Linked DNA regions of Macaca mulatta. Each later gene encodes a partner of the first gene's protein in a complex. Links are inferred from orthologs where the notes say so. Each region holds a gene or a part of one and is shown on either strand. Other genes may lie near its edges.

What was found. The genes of interacting proteins can lie anywhere in the genome.
Region 2: the proteins of FLT1 (region 1) and VEGFB are in contact, whole or in part, in a crystal structure (PDB 2XAC), measured with the Homo sapiens proteins. The link is inferred for Macaca mulatta from reciprocal best matches to the Homo sapiens genes FLT1 and VEGFB. Residues at the interface, in NP_002010.2 of Homo sapiens: Tyr139, Glu141, Pro143, Phe172, Pro173, Tyr199, Ile202, Gly203, Leu204, Asn219, Leu221, Arg224, Thr226; in NP_003368.1 of Homo sapiens: Ser37, Trp38, Ile39, Tyr42, Thr43, Thr46, Cys47, Gln48, Pro83, Asp84, Asp85, Gly86, Leu87, Cys124, Arg125, Pro126.

What each region holds. Positions count from the first base shown.
Region 1 is NC_133422.1:8,289,733-8,292,032, reverse strand, and holds part of FLT1 (vascular endothelial growth factor receptor 1), read left to right. Parts: intron 1-1,120; coding exon 1,121-1,322; 3' UTR 1,323-2,300. UniProt on the Homo sapiens protein: Tyrosine-protein kinase that acts as a cell-surface receptor for VEGFA, VEGFB and PGF, and plays an essential role in the development of embryonic vasculature, the regulation of angiogenesis, cell survival, cell migration, macrophage function, chemotaxis, and cancer cell invasion.
Region 2 is NC_133419.1:10,163,808-10,168,041, reverse strand, and holds the start of VEGFB (vascular endothelial growth factor B), read left to right. Parts: upstream 1-1,434; 5' UTR 1,435-1,656; coding exon 1,657-1,716; intron 1,717-2,291; coding exon 2,292-2,334; intron 2,335-2,653; coding exon 2,654-2,850; intron 2,851-3,134; exon of another isoform or gene 3,135-3,238; coding exon 3,239-3,312; exon of another isoform or gene 3,313-3,715; intron 3,716-3,771; exon of another isoform or gene 3,772-3,877; coding exon 3,878-3,913; intron 3,914-4,110; coding exon 4,111-4,234. Other genes in the region: DNAJC4 (dnaJ homolog subfamily C member 4), read left to right, coding at 704-1,178. UniProt on the Homo sapiens protein: Growth factor for endothelial cells. VEGF-B167 binds heparin and neuropilin-1 whereas the binding to neuropilin-1 of VEGF-B186 is regulated by proteolysis.

The DNA.
Region 1 (2,300 bases):
ATGGGTTATAGTTTTGAACCCTGATCTAAATCAAAGAATGGCAACAAGTGCCTCCAAGTGATGTAGTTAGCACAGTTCATCGACCACAAGTAAATGGGAAAGACAGGGGCATTTCCAGGCAAACATCTGTGTGTGTGTTTCCTTTTCACATGAGCACAATGGTATTAGAATTGAGTTACAGCCCATCAGAGGCACCAGTGAGGAATGAATGGATCAAAGGGGAAGGTAGGATACTTGCTCTTTTGTTTCCTACTTTGGAACACCTCAGAAAATGGGTGGTGACTAATTTTATCTAGATATTTGTTAAAGAAAAACATAAACCATAAATTGTATCCTCTACTCTGAGACTGAAAATATACAACATGGACATGTTAGTCCAGACCAGTCTAAAACATGCTTCACAGGTTCCCTTCCTCATCCCAGATCCCTTGAAAATAAAAAATTCAAACGAATATTAAAGGGCAAGAGCAGCCCTTCCTCCTCAGGTGTCTGTCCTAGTCTGGGTATAACGTAGAGGACCCAGAAGCAAGTTTCTCCACCCTTGAGCCTTGCTGGTGACAAGTAGCACCATAACTAAAAGCGTTTCCTCTTCTAGAACACAGGCACGATAGGGAGAGGGGCACTCACCTGTGTGTGTGAAGCTCTATTGTTTTCTGAGACTGTTGTAACAAATTGGCACTAACTTGGCAACTTACAAGAGAAATTTATTCTCTTGCAGTTCTGGAGGCCAGAAGGGAGATAAAATATGAAAAATGTGAATATTTTGGAGGGCAGGAGGCATTTCTCAGCCTACCACAGAAGCTGTTTGACCCGAGAATAGGAGAGGGCTGCACCCAGGTCTTGGAGTTACTTTCCACCCGGATTATGGGTTTGCGTTATCTTAGCAGACATCTCACACCCTCCCCCAGCCACTGTCTTTCTGCCCCATGACACCCAGCTGCTATGAGGGAGGCCGTGTGCAGCTTTAGAACAGAGGAAATCTGACAGCAGTTGAGGGGGGGTTCGAAAACCATGAACTCTAGGACAGGTATGAACAAATGACCCACTCAGAAAGAGTAGATTTTAGTGTCTTGTTTTCTAAAAACCAATTCTGAACATTTGATTTCTTTCCTTTCTTTAGCTTGAGAGTCACCAGTAAAAGTAAGGAGTCGGGGCTTTCTGATGCCAGCAGGCCCAGTTTCTGCCATTCCAGCTGTGGGCACATCAGCGAAGGCAAGCGCAGGTTCACCTACGACAACGCTGAGCTGGAAAGGAAAATCGCGTGCTGCTCCCCGCCCCCAGACTACAACTCGGTGGTCCTGTACTCCACCCCACCCGTCTAGAGTGTGACACAAAGCCTTATTTCTAGAAGCACATGTGTATTTATACCCCCGGGAAACTAGCTTTTGCCAGTATTATGCATATGTAAGTTTACACCTTGACCTTTCCATGGGAGCCAGCTGCTTTTTGTGATTTTTTAATAGTGCTTTTTTTTTTTTTTTTTGACTAACAAGAATGTAACTCCAGATAGAGAAATAGTGACAAGTGAAGAACACTACTGCTAAATCCTCATGTTACTCAGTGTTAGAGAAATCCTTCCTAAGCCCGATGACTGCCCTGCTCCAACCTCCGCCACCTCAGGGCACACAGGACTAGTTTGATTCAGGAGCCGCACTGATCACCCAATGCATCATGGACCCCACTAGGCCAGCCCCGCAGCCCAAAACCCAGGGCAACAAGCCCGTTAGCCCCAGGGATCACTGGCTGGCTGGAGCAACATCTCAGGAGTCCTCTAGCAGGCCTAAGACACGTGAGGAGGAAAAGGAAAAAGGCAGAAAGCAAGGGACAAAAGAGAAACCGGGAGAAGGCATGAGAAAGAATTTGAGACTCACCATGTGGGTGGGGAGGGGGACGGGGCTCAGCAATGCCATTTCAGTGGCTTCCCAGCTCACCCTTCTACATTTGAGGGCCCAGCCAGGAGCAGATGGGACAGAGATGAGGGGACATTTTCTGAATTCTGGGAGGCAAGAAAAGGACAAATACCTTTTTTGGAACTAAAGCAAATTTTAGAACTTTACCTATGGAACTGGTTCTATGTCCATTCCCATTCGTGGTATGTTTTGATTTACAGCACTGAGGGTGGCACTCAACTCTGAGCCCATACTTTTGGCTCCCCTGGTAAGATGCACTGAAAACTTAGGTTGTATCCATGGCATGATGGCCTTAACACTTAAAATGTCACATTCTATTTTGAGTATTAATATACAGTCCAGACACTTAATTTCTTGGTATTATCCTGTTTTGCACAGTTCATTGTGAAA
Region 2 (4,234 bases), on another chromosome or scaffold:
CGTGCCACGAAGCTGATTCTCTTTTTTGTTTTCTTTTTTCTTTTTTTTTTTTTTTTGAGGTGGAGTCTCACTCTGTCGCCGAGGCTGGAGTACAGTGGCGCGATCTTGGCTCATTGCAACCTCACCTTTGCCTCCCGGGTTCAAGCAATTCTTCTGTTTCTGTCTCAGCCTCCCAAGTAGCTGGGACTACAGGCGTCCACCACCACGCCTGGCTAATTGTTTTGTATTTTTAGTAGAGATGGGGCTTCACCATATTGGCCAGGCTGGTCTCAAACTCCTGACCTCATATGATCCATGCGCCTCGACCTCCCAAAGTAGAGGGATTACTGGCGTGAGCCACCGCGCCTAGCCACGAAGCCGATTTTCTATAGCAAATACCTAAAGGCCAGTGCCCACTGCTAGCAGCCTGCCTAGTTCAGTGATGGAGTTAGATGCATACCCTTTCTAGTCTTCTGGGAGGAGCACCCCCATGTCCACAGCTGCTGTAACACCTCGAAGTGGCCAGGGACTTCGGATGCCATTGGACCCTAGACAAGCCAGGGCCACTCTGAGCCCTCCCTACCTATCACAGGCAGGGTTAGGCTGAGGTCCCTAACCCTGTGTGGGTTAAAAAGCTGTGAGGCCCCTAGAGTGGGGTGGAAGGGGGCAGGACTTCAGGGACAACAGGAATTCGAGTCCCAGGGTTAATTGTGACACATTGCAGGAAGGTGAAGCAGATGCACCTTAATTTCATGGATGAAAAGGATCGGATCATCACAGCCATGTACAATGAAGCGCGGGAGCGGGCGCGGGCCAGGTCTGTCCCTGCTCTATTCTGCCCCCTGCTCCCTGTCCCGGCACCACACTTCGGGATCCCTATCCCAACCACCCAGGTGCCCTCTCCTCCAGGGCCAACAGAGCCAGCCTTCAGCAGGAGCGACAACAGCAAAGGCAGCAGCAGCCGCCACCACCGGAGCCAACCCAAGTCCCCGAGATCGTGCCCCCGGGCGCCGGCCCCTGAGGGGCTCACCTGGATAGGGCCTGCAGTGCGTTCCCGCCTTGCTTCCTTCCCTGGACTGCCCGCTTCCCAAAACGCGTGCAATAAAGTGATTCGCAGAGCTAGTGTGCGGCTCCCTCCTTCAGGCCCGGCGCCCCCTGCCCCGGCTTCGCCGAGGGGCAGCGCCCCGCCCTCTGGGTAGTGACTGCCGCGACCCGGGAGCCCGGCCCCCTGGGCGGTGCGTCCCCTTTCCCCTGCAGCGGCGGGAGGCGGGAGGGGGGTGTGTGGAGGAGGCGGGTCCCGCCGGCGGCCTCGCCCCCCCACCCCGCCGCCCCGCCCCCGCCCCACGGCCCGGTGGGGAGCGCGTGTCTGGGTCACATGAGCCGCCCGCCCGCCAGCCCGGGCCCGGCCCCCCGCCGCCCCCGCCGTCCCCGCCGCCGCCGCCGCCGCCCGCCGCCACCGGCCGCCCGCCCTCCCGGCTCCTCCGGCCGCCTCCGCTGCTCTGCGCTGCACTGCCTGCACCCAGGGCTCGGGAGGGGGCCGCGGAGGAGCCGCCCACCGCGCCCGGCCCCCGCCCGCCGCGCCCGGGCCCGCGCCATGGGGCTCTGGCTGCCGCCGCCCCCCGCCCCACCGGGCTAGGGCGATGCGGGCGTCCCCGGCGGGCGGCCCCCGCGGGCACCATGAGCCCCCTGCTCCGCCGCCTGCTGCTCGCCGCGCTCCTGCAGCTGGCCCCCGCCCAGGTACGTGCGGCCCGACAGCGCGCCCGCCAGCCCGCCCGCCAGCCCGCCGTGCCCTCTCTCAAGGTTGGCGGAAGTGAGGAGGCGACCCGCGGCCTCGGCCGGGGGGATCTGCGGGGTCCGGCCTTGGACGCGGGCGTCTCGGGGCCCGGCGCGTGCATCCCCTGGGAGGTGCCCCTCCCCGCTGGCCCGCCAGCCCCAGTCTGGGGCCACTCCTCCGCCCCACCCCGTCCCCTGGGCACCGCCGGGGGCGGGGCTCCCTCAGTGCTCGCAGGACCTGCTTCGGTGCCCACTGTGCGCGCTCCTGATCTGCATGCAGCCCCCAGACATGCTCGGTTCTGCGGCCTGGAGATTTGATGAGGCCGCCGGAGCACCTGTTGTGTTTTGGGCCAGGGCAGGTCCGGGGTGGCCAGGAAAGGACAGGTAAAGCTAGAGCAGTGGCCACAGGAACAGAGCAATCTGGAAAGATGTCAGAGAGGTGGTGAAGCCTCCTGATGCAAGGGCAAAGCCCCAGGGATGGCGACAGGGAAAGACCCTCCTAAAGGGTACCTTGGGTACAGGTCTTTTCTCTCCCACAGGCCCCTGTCTCCCAGCCTGATGCTCCTGGCCACCAGAAGAAAGGTAATACTCATAAAAACTCGGCACTAGCCAGCACTGAGAGGGTTTGTCATTGGCCCTGATTCCAGGTGCCTGGTGTCCGTCATCTTGTATAACTCCCCTAGAATATGCAAACTGTTATTCTACCCATTTCACAGAGGAGGAAATTGAGGCAGCGGGGTTACTGGGATCTGGATAAACAGGGCAGGGGAAGACAGGTTGTGAGGGCAGAGTGGGGAGGGCTACTGGAGGGTGGCTGTGACTTGGGGACTGGGGGGGACAGCTGCTGGGAGCAGCTGCAGGAAAAACAGTGAGGACTTAACCCCTACCGGTCTGCTCCCAGTGGTGTCATGGATAGATGTGTATACTCGCGCTACCTGCCAGCCCCGGGAGGTGGTGGTGCCCCTGACTGTGGAGCTCATGGGCACCGTGGCCAAACAGCTGGTGCCCAGCTGTGTGACCGTGCAGCGTTGTGGTGGCTGCTGCCCTGATGATGGCCTGGAGTGTGTGCCCACTGGGCAGCACCAAGTCCGGATGCAGGTACTGGGCATATGGAGCAGTGGGCAGGGGTTGCAGGTACTGGGCAGGTGGGGCAGTGGGCAGGGGATGCAGGTACTGGGCAGGTGGGGCAGTGGGCAGGGGATGCAGGCACTGGGCAGGTGGGGCAGCGGGCAGGGGATGCAGGCACTGGGCAGGTGGGGCAGCGGGCAGGGGATGCAGGTACTGGGCAGGTGGGGCAGTGGGCAGGGTGGATGCTGGCTGGCTCTGGGGCTGGGGCAGCCTGGAGACTGAGGCACAGGAGGTAGGGTTGGGGGGAGGGCTGGTGGCCAGCCTCCTGGCTGTTGGGTGAGCTTTTCTCCCTCCAGCCTTAGAGCATCCCCTTTCTCTCTCTCCCTCACTGTCCCCCCTGTTCTTCTCCTGAGCACAGATCCTCATGATCCGGTACCCGAGCAGTCAGCTGGGGGAGATGTCCCTGGAAGAACACAGCCAGTGTGAATGCAGGTGCCAGCCAGGCCCAAATTCTGAGCTTACAGAGGCCAGGCTGGGGGGGTGCTGGGTATGGTGGTCCACAGAACTGGGGACCAGGTTCCTAAGAGTAGAGCCAAGGGTAGGCCTTGGATCTGGGGCAACAAAGTAGGATGGTTGGGTCAGTGGCTCACACCTATAATCCCAGCACTTTGGGAGGCCCAGGTGGGCGGATCATCTGAGGTAAGGAGTTCAAGACCAGCCTGGCCAAGATGGTGAAACCCCGTCTCTACTAAAAACAAAAACAAAAACAAAAATTAGCTGGGTGTGGTGGCGGATGCCTGTAATCCGAGCTACTTGGGAGGCTGAGACAGAAGAATAGCTTGAACCCAGGAGGCGGAGGTTGCAGTGAGCTGAGACCATGCCACTGCACTCCAGCCTGGGCAAGAATAGGGAAGCACTCCAGCCTGGGCAAGAATAGGGAAGCACTCCAGCCTGGGCAAGAATAGGGAAACTCAGTCTCAAAAAGAGAGAGAGAGAGTAGGATGCTGGGATTTCCTGATCTTCCTCCTCTTTGTGTCTATCTCTCTTAATTTTTCAGACCTAAAAAAAAGGACAGTGCTGTGAAGCCGGACAGGTGAGTCTTTTGGACTCCAGCTGAGTGGGGGCAGGGGGAGTACAAGTGAGTCCGGAAGCTGTTGCCCCTCTTTCTCCTCCCACCTGTCCCCCGCTTTCCCTTTTCCTCTGCTCCCCAAGCCTGTGTTCTCTGTCCCGACCCCAGCTCCAGGGAAGACTCTTCCTTCCCACCCCAGACATGTCGCTTCTCCTCCCTAGGGCTGCCACTCCCCACCACCGTCCCCAGCCCCGCTCTGTTCCGGGCTGGGACTCTGCCCCCGGAGCACCCTCCCCAGCTGACATCACCCATCCCACTCCAGCCCCAGGACCCTCTGCCCACGCT